3 linked regions of the Mus musculus genome follow. Each later gene encodes a partner of the first gene's protein in a complex. Links are inferred from orthologs where the notes say so. Each region holds a gene or a part of one and is shown in the gene's direction. Other genes may lie near its edges.

Region 1 (3,648 bases):
GACACCCTACCAAGATCGATCAATTAATTGATCTTTATATCTATTTGTATATTCATTCATTCATTCATTCATTCATTCATTCATTCATTTTTGATATCTTAAGTCATCCTGCATATGAGCATAGGATGTCTTTCCATTTCTTAGGACTTCCTATGTTTAGTTTTTGCCATTTTTATTTTGTGACCCTTTCACCTCTGGCTAACTCCTAATTATTTTATTCTTTTTACATCTCCTTCATTCTTGCCAAGTTCCTTTTTTCTAGGCCTTTCCAGTTACAGATACTGACTTTAACATGCACCTATGGATCGAGCATTGGACTTAGTCTGGTAGTTATTATGGATGGTGGATGCCTTCAGTAGAGTATTTTGTTAGGTGGTCTCACTGTGATCTTTAGTAGCTAGAAGTAAATATGATTTTTTTCTTAAACTACACCTGTAGTAATGATTTATTGTTGTTACATTACTACTAAGTTATTAATAAAGAACTTAAAAAAAAGTAGTATGCCAATTTCCTTGCTGTTTAATTTAGTGGCATATATAAATAGAACCAGCACAGAGAGTATTGTCCAAACAGCATATTACAAAGCTATACCTTTGATTAGCAAAATTGCTTTGTCACTAATGGCTGATATGCTAAGAGCTGAATACCTGAAGTCTTAGCGGAGCTGTAGTCCCCTGCCCACCTCTTTTTTGAAACAAGACTTTTACTATGTAGTTTTGACTGACTTGGAGCTTGGTTTGTAGACCACCCAAACTTGTAGTGATCTCCTGCCTCTGCTTCCTGAGCTCTGGGTTTATGGGCATGCACACTATCTCCATTTTTTTCCTTTTAGATTACATGTATGTATGTATATATGTGGAAGCACATGCCATAGCATGTATATGTGGAGGTCAAGAAGCTAAACTTGGGGGATTTGATTTTCTCCTTTCACCGTCTGTTTTCTGGGGACTGAATTCAGGTTGTTAGGCATGTCATCTTTACCACTGAGTGATCTTGTTAGCTCCGCCATGTTCATCTTTGACAATTTTTTTGATATATGATCTCATGGTCACACCTAACCTTCCTGCCTCTGTCTCACTAGTGCTGAGATTATAAGCTTGTGCCAACCATGCCTGTTTTTAATGTGGTATAGGGCTTGAGTCCAAGGCTGTATGTGTGCTAGGTTATCACTCTGTATACTAAATAGCTATAGCCTTAGCCCCTGACCTGTGATTTTAATGCCGCGAGGATACCAAATCTCAGTTGCCAACCTCTCTTAACTCTTTCTTTAGGGCAAGAGGATTATGACAGACTACGACCGCTAAGTTATCCACAGACAGATGTTTTTCTAGTATGTTTCTCAGTGGTCTCTCCATCCTCATTTGAAAATGTGAAAGAAAAGGTAAGTCAGGTTCTGCCCTTTGAAACATGCACAGAATTCCTGTTGCCCTGTTACAGTTTCAGTGGCTTGTGGATTAACAAAACATTTTAAAACCTTGCTTTTAGTGGGTGCCTGAGATAACTCACCACTGTCCAAAGACTCCTTTCTTGCTTGTTGGGACCCAAATTGATCTCAGAGATGACCCCTCTACTATTGAGAAACTTGCCAAGAACAAACAGAAGCCTATTACTCCAGAGACTGCTGAAAAGCTGGCGCGGGATCTGAAGGCTGTCAAGTATGTGGAGTGCTCTGCCCTCACACAGGTAAGGAGGGCTCTGGAACCTATGTCTCTGTAGTCAGTTGTTTTGAGCATTAGGATACAGAGGCTCTTTCCTTTTATTCTTTCTTTTTTCCCTTAAAAATTTGTCCGTGAATGTATACTGTGTGAGTGTAGTTCTGCAGAGTACATAAACTGACATGACTATTCCAAGGTATAGTTGAGAGGAAGGTTTTTTATTGTAGATATGAAGGAAAGACATCAGGAAGAATCCAGAGATGAGAGAGAAAATAGACTGAACATGGCCAGCAAACTGGACTTGGCCATGGTGGTGGTGGGGTTTGAAGGAAGAAGAGAGAGGAGGACCAAGAGAGGGCTGAAATAGAAGGGAATGAGAAGCTGGAGGTGGAGTGGGGTGGGGTGGGATGGGGGCTTCTGAGCTGGAGAAGTTGAGGGTAAGGAGTGGGTGGAGGTCAGCATGCACTTGGTTATGCTAATAGGCACCCTAGGTAGCAATTTGTCCCTTCTGCCAGTGATAAGGAAATGACTTCCTGAGGAGTGAGGGCTTTTTGTCCATCTGTCAGAATTTGGCCCTGACATTTCAACCTTTTGTTTATGATAAGGGCAACATAATCTCTTCTGTAACTGCTTCTTAGTTGAAATTAGGACATTGATGTCAGAGCTCTGGAAGACTGGGATGCCTGTTTAAGGTTGGGAGATTCCAGTGCTCTGAGCAGTCTGGAATGACAGAGACCACTATCTAGACAGTTGTCCCAGATTCCTGTGGTCCTGTTGCACTGTGGTCAGAGGTGGTCTTTGGCCATTAGGCCAGAAGAGGGAGGCCTTTTTTTTTTTTGTGGAGAAGGAACATGGGAGAGACTGACCTCATCTTGTCTTCAGCAACACTTAGCAATAAATCATAGCAGTAAGTTTTCCCGTGTCCGGTTTGCCCACAGTGCAGGCTGGGCCCTAGTGGGCAAGGCAGGGGCCAGTCTGTCCACTGGTCAATGTACTCTAATCCAGGTTTAGTCTTTTGTCATTCTGCCTATATCTTCTTGAAGAACTTGCAGAGGTGGGTTGTGTATCACTGTTAGGATTTGGGAGTCACTGTCATATAATAAGTTTAAGCATATTAAATGCCATAGTCAACAGGTCTCTGACAGGCTTGAGGGCTAGTACCCACCGAGCATATCTGAGTTAAACAATCTTTGTCTGTTTTCAGGTATCTGCGCTAAACTGTACCTTGCAAACATAAAACAAGGGGCTAAGTAAAACTTCATCTTGTAATTACGTCAATTCATAGAGAAACCTCAAATATATTTTTGGACACATTAAAAGATTTGATCATTTATTTATAAGGTTACTATCAACTTGCATTTCTTTTTTTTTTTATTAAGATTTATTTATTTATTATATGTAAGTACACTGTAGCTGTCTTCAGACACTCCAGAAGAGGGTGTCAGATCTCATTATGGGTAGTTGTGAGCCACCTTGTGGTTGCTGGGATTTGAACTCAGGACCTTCAGAAGAGCAGTCAGTGTTCTTAACCGCTGAGCCATCTCTCCAGCCCCTTCACTTGCATTTCTTAATTATCCTTAACAGTTGACAATAATTTAGTAGCTTCCTAAGATTAGGACTTTGTGGGGCTTTTTGTTTGTTTGTTTGTTTGTTTCTTTGTTTTCGAGACAGGGTTTCTCTGTGTAGCCCTGGCTGTCCTGGAACTCACTTTGTAGACCAGGCTGGCCTCGAACTCAGAAATCCACCTGCCTCTGCCTCCCAAGTGCTGGGGTTAAAGGTGTGAGCCACCACCGCCTGGCTAGGACTTTGTGTTTTATCTCTGTTAAGTTTAGATTTAAAAATTAAGATTTTGATTTTGCTCTTCTAGTATCAAAATAAAATTTCTAAATCTATAAATATAGTTTATAATTAGAGACTGGGCACATTTCTGACCTTTATAGAACATAAAAGCTTCCTTGGTAGCCTGTTTCTGTGGTCAGCTCATGTCATGTGT
Region 2 (3,648 bases), on another chromosome or scaffold:
GATCCCTGGCAGCCGACCCTCACTGGTGGGTCCCAGGTCCCAGTGAGAGATCTTGTTTCAAAAGAACAGATTGGGGGCCGAGGAGACTGCTTGGTGGGTAAAGTGCTTCTGTGTCAGAGTGCAGGCCTGAGTTTGGGTCTCTAGCGCCCATGTAAAAATTGGGCACAGCGGCATGTACCTGGGTCCTCAGTACTGGGGAGATAGGAGGATAGCTGGGGCTTGGTGGCTTGCATATACAAAGGTGGTATCTACTATTGCTGGGTATGGTGATATATAGCTGTAAAGGAGGCCAGCCTGGGCTACATGAGACTCTGCCTCATTCACCCGACTCCCCCAATATGGAACTACTGTTGCCATTCACTTTACTGAAGTAGTAAGCTGGAATGTTCTTGAATCTAGGCACTTTGAGTTTAGTGTGCCTCTCAAGATGGAAGATGAGGCTGAGTGATTGTGAGCACCACCTTGTGGCGACATTACTGTTGTCTGGCTATTTCCAGGCTTGGTCCATCTATCCCTGGTGGGCTTTCCACTTGCAAGCTCTCCTCCTTCCTTCTCTCCCTCTCTACTTCCTGTCTCCCTCCCTCCTTTCCTTTTTGAGACAGGCTCTCATATAACCTAGCTCTCAAACTCCCTACTATGTAGCCCAGGCTGGTTTTGAGTTCCAGTCCTCTGCCCTTACTTCCCAAATACTGGAATTACAGGCATGTGCCATTGTGCCTGGCTCACAGCAGCCCTTTTAAAAAACCAAGTAATTTTAAGGGCCTTTGCTTCCTTGGCCCACCCTCACTCCCTCCCCCAGCATGCCTGCCCCTGGGGAAGGCAGCCTTCAGCTGGCCAGCTGAGTCAGGTAGATAGGAGACAGCAGCTTAGAGTTCCTAGATCGATCCCCCTCACTCCAAAAGGCATCTTACTGGTATGAGGAGCAGGAAGCTGGGGGTTGTGGGGAGGGTGTCTGACCCTGCTGCCTCTTCCTCATCCACCAGGCTGACCCCTGCCCACAGCAGGAAGGCGCTGAGGAATTCCCGAATCGTCAGCCAGAAGGATGATGTCCACGTGTGCATCATGTGTCTAAGAGCCATCATGAACTACCAGGTCAGCCGGTGGCATGGGATTGGGGCCTCAGGAGATGGCTTGTCCTCCTGGGACCTGTGCTAGCTGCTGATGTCCTAAGACCCTGGGTCACCTCTTGCCTGGAACCCTACGAGCCTGGGGTCTGGGCTTTGGTGGGGGTCTGGAGGCTGGGAAGTTTTGAGGGAAAGCCCTGGGTTTGATTACATTCATGTCAGGTCTGCTGAGATGGCCTTGGGTGTGGTCAGGGGGAAGCAAGGGGCTCAGATGGGACCAAGGATGGTTGGGTAGTGGAGTCCATGGGAGGGCCAGCTGGTACAGCTCCACTTCTGTGGTTCCTCATCTCTGTAAACTTTCTTAAAACGTTATGGGATTTTGTGTGATTTTTTTTTTTAAGTAACTATTTCATGGCTGTCGGCATCTTAGATTACAACTTTGTATATGCCCCATATGTCAAAAGGTTGGACATGCCTGCATAGCCTCGCTATGTCCACAGTGCTTGGCACTGGCTTTTGACAAGACAAAATGACCTTGGAAAGGGGACAGGGTTGGGCCTTGGCTCCTTAAGAAGAGGTAATGGCTGGATGTGAGGAGTGTCCTAAGCTTGGAGCACTAGAGGCCAGAACAGCATGGCACAGACTACGCGGGAGTTGCTGGAAGTTTTGGGGACCTGCCTAGAGGTGCTAACCTCTCCTCTCTCCCCAGTCCGGCTTCAGCCTTGTTATGAACCACCCAGCCTGTGTCAATGAGATCGCTCTAAGCCTTAACAACAAGAGCCCCAGGTAAGGCCTATATTCCTAACTGGTTTTCTGCTTCCATCCTTGCAAAAACTCCTTCCCCCATTGTCAAGCCTGCTGCCCAGGCTCACCCCACCCCAGCTCCCCTGTCCTTCCCCTTCTCTTCTCAGAACCAAGGCTCTGGTACTGGAGCTGCTGGCAGCTGTATGTCTCGTGCGGGGAGGACACGACATCATCCTTGCGGCCTTTGACAACTTCAAGGAGGTACTGGATTTTCCTACCCAACACCCCTGCCTCCCCCTCTGCCCCCCATCCTTCTAGAACTGCTTGGAGTCTGGCTGCCAGAAATTGTAGCCTCCTCTGATAGGGCATGTGGAGACACAGGGTGGATGTTTGGGAAATACACAGGATATTGGGATGGGGAAATTCAGAATGTCAGGTTTAGTTAGTCAGGGGTATGGTCTAGTACAGTGGTTCCAGCCTTCCTAATACTATGACCCGTTAGTACCGTTCCTCATGTTGTGGTGACCCCCCCCCCCCACCATAAAATTATTTCATTGCTACTGCACAACTGCAATTTTGCTACTGTTCTGAATAGTAGTGTTACAAGCTCACAGGAGGTTCCTGCATAGTGACATGGTAAATAAGCCCACTGTGACAGGGCTGGAAATCTGGTGCAGCAGTTAAGTGTGCTCCCTGCCTGACGGTGGGGATCTGAGTTCAGATCCAAGCACCCATGTTATAAGTCAAAGTCTCTAACCCGAGTCTGCAGAGAGAGGAGACTGGATGCTTGCAGACGCTTGCTGATTTCCAGCCTAGCTGAGGAAATATGGCCTCCAGGTCCAAGGAGAGAGCCTGCCTCCTAGAAATAGGCAGAGTGAGAGAGGGGACACCCATGCTGTCTTCTGGCCTCTGCATGTACACACAGGCACATGAAACTCCCTCCTCTGCCACTATACACACACTCACACACACACACACACACACACACACACACACACACACACACTCACACACATACACACACTCACACACACACACACGCTCACACACACACACACATACATACACATGCTCTCTCTCACACACACACACATACACACACTCACACTCACACACATACACACACACACATACACACACTCACACACAAGCTCACACACACACATACACATGCTCACACACACACACACACACACATACACATGCTCACACACACACACATTTATCAAAAAAAAAAGTTTTAAGGCAGGGTCTCACTTTGCAGCACTGGCTGTCCCGGAACTTGATATATATAGACCAGGCTGGCCATGAACTCACAGAGATCCACTTGCCTCTGCCTCATGAGTGCTGGGATGAAAGGTGTGCACCACCATGTCCAGTCAATGAAATCATCTTTAAAGCTGGAGGTAGTTGAGCAGCTTGGTGCAGGCATTTGGGAGGGAGAGCCAGGAGGACTGGGGCTTCAAGGTCATCACCGGCTATATGGTGAGTTCAAGACCAGCCTAAGCTATAAAAAAACATGGGGGGGGGTGCAGGGGGAGGAATGCCAAAGTAAAAACCAACCCAGCACAGACTGCCTCAAAACAGGGGTAGGGGGCTGGGTGTGTCCATTCATTCTTTTATTGATGTTCACTGAGGGCTGATTATGTAGCAGGCACAGAAGCAGGCCCTTAGGATGGATATCTAAATAGGTGAAAAGGCATCGGAGGGCTGGGATAGTAATACTCATTCAATAAGGCACTCGCTTTGCAAGAATGAGGATCTGAGTCCATGAGCCCACATAAAAAGCTGGGTTGGCCAGGCACAGTAGCACACACCTTTAATTCCAGCACTCCAGGGG
Region 3 (3,748 bases), on another chromosome or scaffold:
ATGAGATTGAAAAGAAAGTAATTAGGGCCAGGCATGGTGATACAGGCCTTTAATCCCAGCACTCAGAAGGCAGAGGCAGATGGATCTCTGTGAGTTCAAGGCCAGCCTGGTCTATAGAGTGAGTTTTAGGACAGCCAGGGCTCTACACAGGGAAAACGTGTCTCAAAACAAACAAACAAACAAACAAACAAACAAAAGCAAAGCAAAGCAAAGCAAAACAAAACAAAAACCAAATAAAACAAAAACAAAAAACAAAAAAGGGGTGGGGGTCTGAGTTTAGGCTAGAGAGATTGTTGAGTGGTTAAGAGCACTGACTGCTCTTCCAGAGGACATAGGTTCAAATCCCAGAACACACATGGCAGCTCAGGACTGTCTGTAACTCTGACACCCTCACACAGACATACATGTAGGCAAAACACCAAGGCGCATAAAATAAAAATAAATTTTACAAAAGAAAGTAATTGGGGTCTGGAGAGATGGCTCAGTGATTAAGAGCACTGACTGTTCTTCCAGAGGTCCTGAGTTCAAATCCCAGAAACCACATGGTGGCTCACAGCATCTGTAATGAAGATCCAATGCCCTCTCCTGGTGTGTCTGAAGACAGCGACAGTGTACCCGCATACATGAAATAAATAAATGAAAAAGAAAGTAATTAGGGAGCTACAGGGGGCAAGAGTAAAAGATGGGGAAGTGAGTCATGGCCTTCTATATCATTGGCAACGTCCAAAGCTAGAGATTAGTTCATATGCCTTTTTTTTTTTTTTTTTTTTTTTTTTTTTGGTTTTTCGAGACAGGGTTTCTCTGTATAGCCCTGGCTGTCCTGGAACTCACTTTGTAGACCAGGCTGGCCTCGAACTCAGAAATCTGCCTGTCTCTGCCTCCTGAGTGCTGGGGTCAAAGGTGTGCGCCACCACGCCCGGCTCAATATGCCTTTAAAAGGAAAAGCTGTAATGCAATGGCCCTTTAGCACCTGGAGCCTTAGATTCAACCCCAGGCCAAGTCGGTGCTTTTGGAAGACGGAAGGAGGCTACACAGACTTGTGACTACTCTCTGCGTAGCTACCCTGAAGGAGAAGCTCTGCAGATGGCGTAGCTCTCCCTCAGTGTCCGACTAGAGCAAGGCTGATCTAAGCCTGTCAGAAGGAAATGGCCCCGCACAAAAAGGGAGAGGACGTTGGGAAGAAAGAAGAAAGGAAGATGCCCTGAGCTCATTACAAACTTGGATCTAGCCACGCAAATGGAGGAGGGCCCATGCCTGTCCTAGAGAGGAGAACAGGCCCTCTGGGGGGCCCTGGAGGACTTATTTCCCTTGTGGTTTATTGTACTTCCTGTTCCCCTGCTCACTGCGGAAGTTCCTCTTCTTACCCTGCACCCAGAGCTTAGCTGGAGAGGACTAAGGCAGAAGGCAGCATGAATAGTGGCCCTGGCCCTGTAGGAGGCAGGCCTGGGGGCCGAGGGGGACCAGCCGTTCAGCAGAACATTCCTTCCAACCTCCTCCAGGACCATGAAAACCAGAGACTCTTTGAGCTTCTTGGCCGAAAATGCTGGGTGAGTTGGGAGATCTCCTGGTCCTCCCAGTCTCCCTCCCTCTCCTCTTCTTCCTCTCTACTTCTTCTTCCCCGTTCTGCTTCCTCCTCTTACCCATATTTCCCTTCTCCTTGTTCCCATCATCCCTGTATCCCCCTTCTCCCCATCTCCTCTCCTCAGATTCACTCACTCCCCATTATCTTGATGTCTACTCCCCTTCCTCCTGGCTACAGCTCTTTCCCCAAGCTCATGAAAGCCACAGGCAGGCAAGGACCAGGCCTGGTGACCCATGAGCACACTGCACTGACCCCTGCTCTCCCCTCCTAGACACTGGCTACCACAGTTGTTCAGCTCTACCTGGCACTGCCCCCTGGAGCTGAGCACTGGACCATGGAACACTGCGGGGCTGTGTGCTTCGTGAAGGATAACCCTCAGAAGTCCTACTTCATCCGCCTTTATGGCCTACAGGTGACCCCATGCCCCACTGGACAGGAAAGCTAGTTCCCAACTTACAAAACCAGTTTTTGTCCACAGCTCCAAGCCTTCACTCATATCAGTGACCCCCTGAGCTCCAGAACCAAAGACCAATACAGATCCCAAGTTGTGTTTTTCTCATTCTGAGTCTAAGAAGACGGACCTCAGAAGGTTTATATCAAGACTTAGATCTGCTCCACAAATACCTGAGCCTCAGCCTCAAATATGTTCTAAATCATGTTGAATACTCTTAGAACTGGAATCTTAAATTCACAACGTGGAGCCTTCAACTCCTACATATAGGCTTTGGCTCCCAAACCCATATCTCTCATATCGGTGTCTGACTCTCAGACACCTAGAACCCAAACTCTGATAGTGAGCTGAAGCTGAAGAGCTTTAAATAAAACCCCGGGACACCAAACCTGGACACCATGCTCCAGTGGTCTGCCACCCAAGATGCCTGGATTTCAGCATGCACCTCCCCCCACTTTCCAGGCTGGTCGGCTACTCTGGGAACAGGAGCTGTACTCTCAGCTGGTTTATCTCACTCCCACCCCGTTCTTCCACACTTTTGCTGGAGATGTAAGTGAGCAGCTTGTGCATCCTTGCGCTGCAGTTGGGGGGGATGGGGAGGAGATGAGAAAGTCCCGGGGATGTGGGGGGCGTACTAGAAGTTTGCTGACCCCAAGGCATGTATAGGACTGTCAAGTAGGACTGAACTTTGCGGATGAGAGTGAAGCCCAGGCCTTCCGGGCCTTGGTGCAGGAGAAGATACAAAAAAGGAATCAGAGGCAAAGCGGAGGTAAGGAGGCCTTGGTGGGAATTGGGGGGAGGTAGGTTAGACAGAGGTGAGTGCACGGGTGTGAGGCTGGAAAAGCCCCTCTCATGGTTTTGGCTCTCAGTCCACCCTATTTAACCACAGAAAGACGCCAGCTACCACCACCACCAGCACCAATCAATGAGGGTGAGTCCTCTCGTTCAAATAAAGGTTATGAAGAACTAACCCAGAGATGTGGGGGAGCAAGATTAGGGCAGATCTGAACTCATTCCATTTTTCCAGAGAGAAGAGGAGGGCTCCCACCTGTGCCCCCACACCCGGGTGGAGATCATGGGGGTAAGTGGCAATTCTCACATCACTGGAGAGATGGTGGGGGTTAGTAGATGAATGAGTACTTGAGTCTGTCTGTAAATTCATAAAGAGGTGGATGGTGGGTGGACAGATGAGCACGGTGATAGATTGGTGGCAGACATGGCTAAATTGGGAGATGGACTGATGATGGCTTATAGATAAATAGGTACATGAGTATTTGGGTAAATGGATGAAAACTTACTTGCATTTAAGTAATGAATAGGTGGTTCAGAGAATTCATGAATGGGCATGTAAACAGATGAACAGTGGACAAAGAGGGCCGCTGAGATGGAACAGCGCTTGCCACCAAGCCTAGACACCATCGTTCTAGCCCCAGAATCCACATAAAGATAGGAAAGAAACAATTCCACAAAGTTGTCCTCTGACCTCCACACATGTGCCTTGCACGCACACACACATAATATACATTTAAAGAATTCAATCACAAAAGTGGGATGAGAGAATATTCTATCCAAGGAAGATCAAATGATTAGGTGTGAATGAATGAATAACTTAATAAGCTTTTTAGCCAACCAGCCAGAGAATGGATGAGTCAGTACTTGAATGGTAAAGACACATGAATTGGTGACTCTTTCAGTGTTTTTTTGGGATCCATCCA

Evidence for each region.
Region 2: the proteins of Cdc42 (region 1) and Fmnl1 are in contact, whole or in part, in a crystal structure (PDB 4YDH), measured with the Homo sapiens proteins. The link is inferred for Mus musculus from reciprocal best matches to the Homo sapiens genes CDC42 and FMNL1. Residues at the interface, in NP_001034891.1 of Homo sapiens: Val36, Phe37, Glu62, Asp63, Tyr64, Asp65, Arg66, Leu67, Arg68, Pro69, Leu70, Pro73, Lys94, Glu95, Lys96, Pro99, Glu100, His103, His104, Lys131, Asn132, Gln134; in NP_005883.3 of Homo sapiens: Cys45, Met46, Asn47, Leu48, Pro49, Lys52, Leu56, Tyr59, Lys63, Glu66, Leu67, Asp70, Gln71, Phe74, Tyr83, Arg122, Glu123, Glu125, Thr126, Ser127, Leu128, Arg129, Thr130, Asn131, His132, Ile133, Val136, His228, Met232, Arg235.
Region 3: the proteins of Cdc42 (region 1) and Was are in contact, whole or in part, in an NMR structure (PDB 1CEE), measured with the Homo sapiens proteins. The link is inferred for Mus musculus from reciprocal best matches to the Homo sapiens genes CDC42 and WAS. Residues at the interface, in NP_001034891.1 of Homo sapiens: Gln2, Tyr23, Thr24, Thr25, Val36, Phe37, Asp38, Asn39, Tyr40, Ala41, Val42, Thr43, Val44, Met45, Ile46, Gly47, Tyr64, Arg66, Leu67, Leu70, Lys153, Lys166, Asp170, Glu171, Ile173, Leu174, Leu177, Glu178, Pro179; in NP_000368.1 of Homo sapiens: Lys230, Lys231, Lys232, Ile233, Ser234, Lys235, Asp237, Ile238, Gly239, Ala240, Pro241, Ser242, Gly243, Phe244, Lys245, His246, Val247, Ser248, His249, Val250, Trp252, Phe258, Leu263, Asp264, Leu267, Leu270, Phe271, Ala274, Gly275, Ile276.

What each region holds. Positions count from the first base shown.
Region 1 is NC_000070.6:137,326,748-137,330,395, reverse strand, and holds part of Cdc42 (cell division control protein 42 homolog), read left to right. Parts: intron 1-1,271; coding exon 1,272-1,381; intron 1,382-1,485; coding exon 1,486-1,683; intron 1,684-3,648. UniProt on the Homo sapiens protein: Plasma membrane-associated small GTPase which cycles between an active GTP-bound and an inactive GDP-bound state. In active state binds to a variety of effector proteins to regulate cellular responses. Involved in epithelial cell polarization processes.
Region 2 is NC_000077.6:103,184,638-103,188,285, forward strand, and holds part of Fmnl1 (formin-like protein 1), read left to right. Parts: intron 1-983; coding exon 984-1,092; intron 1,093-1,773; coding exon 1,774-1,850; intron 1,851-1,975; coding exon 1,976-2,069; intron 2,070-3,648. UniProt on the Homo sapiens protein: May play a role in the control of cell motility and survival of macrophages. Plays a role in the regulation of cell morphology and cytoskeletal organization. Required in the cortical actin filament dynamics and cell shape.
Region 3 is NC_000086.7:8,088,090-8,091,837, reverse strand, and holds the start of Was (wiskott-Aldrich syndrome protein homolog), read left to right. Parts: upstream 1-1,346; 5' UTR 1,347-1,409; coding exon 1,410-1,547; intron 1,548-1,853; coding exon 1,854-1,994; intron 1,995-2,495; coding exon 2,496-2,582; intron 2,583-2,699; coding exon 2,700-2,802; intron 2,803-2,922; coding exon 2,923-2,964; intron 2,965-3,060; coding exon 3,061-3,114; intron 3,115-3,748. UniProt on the Homo sapiens protein: Effector protein for Rho-type GTPases that regulates actin filament reorganization via its interaction with the Arp2/3 complex. Important for efficient actin polymerization. Possible regulator of lymphocyte and platelet function.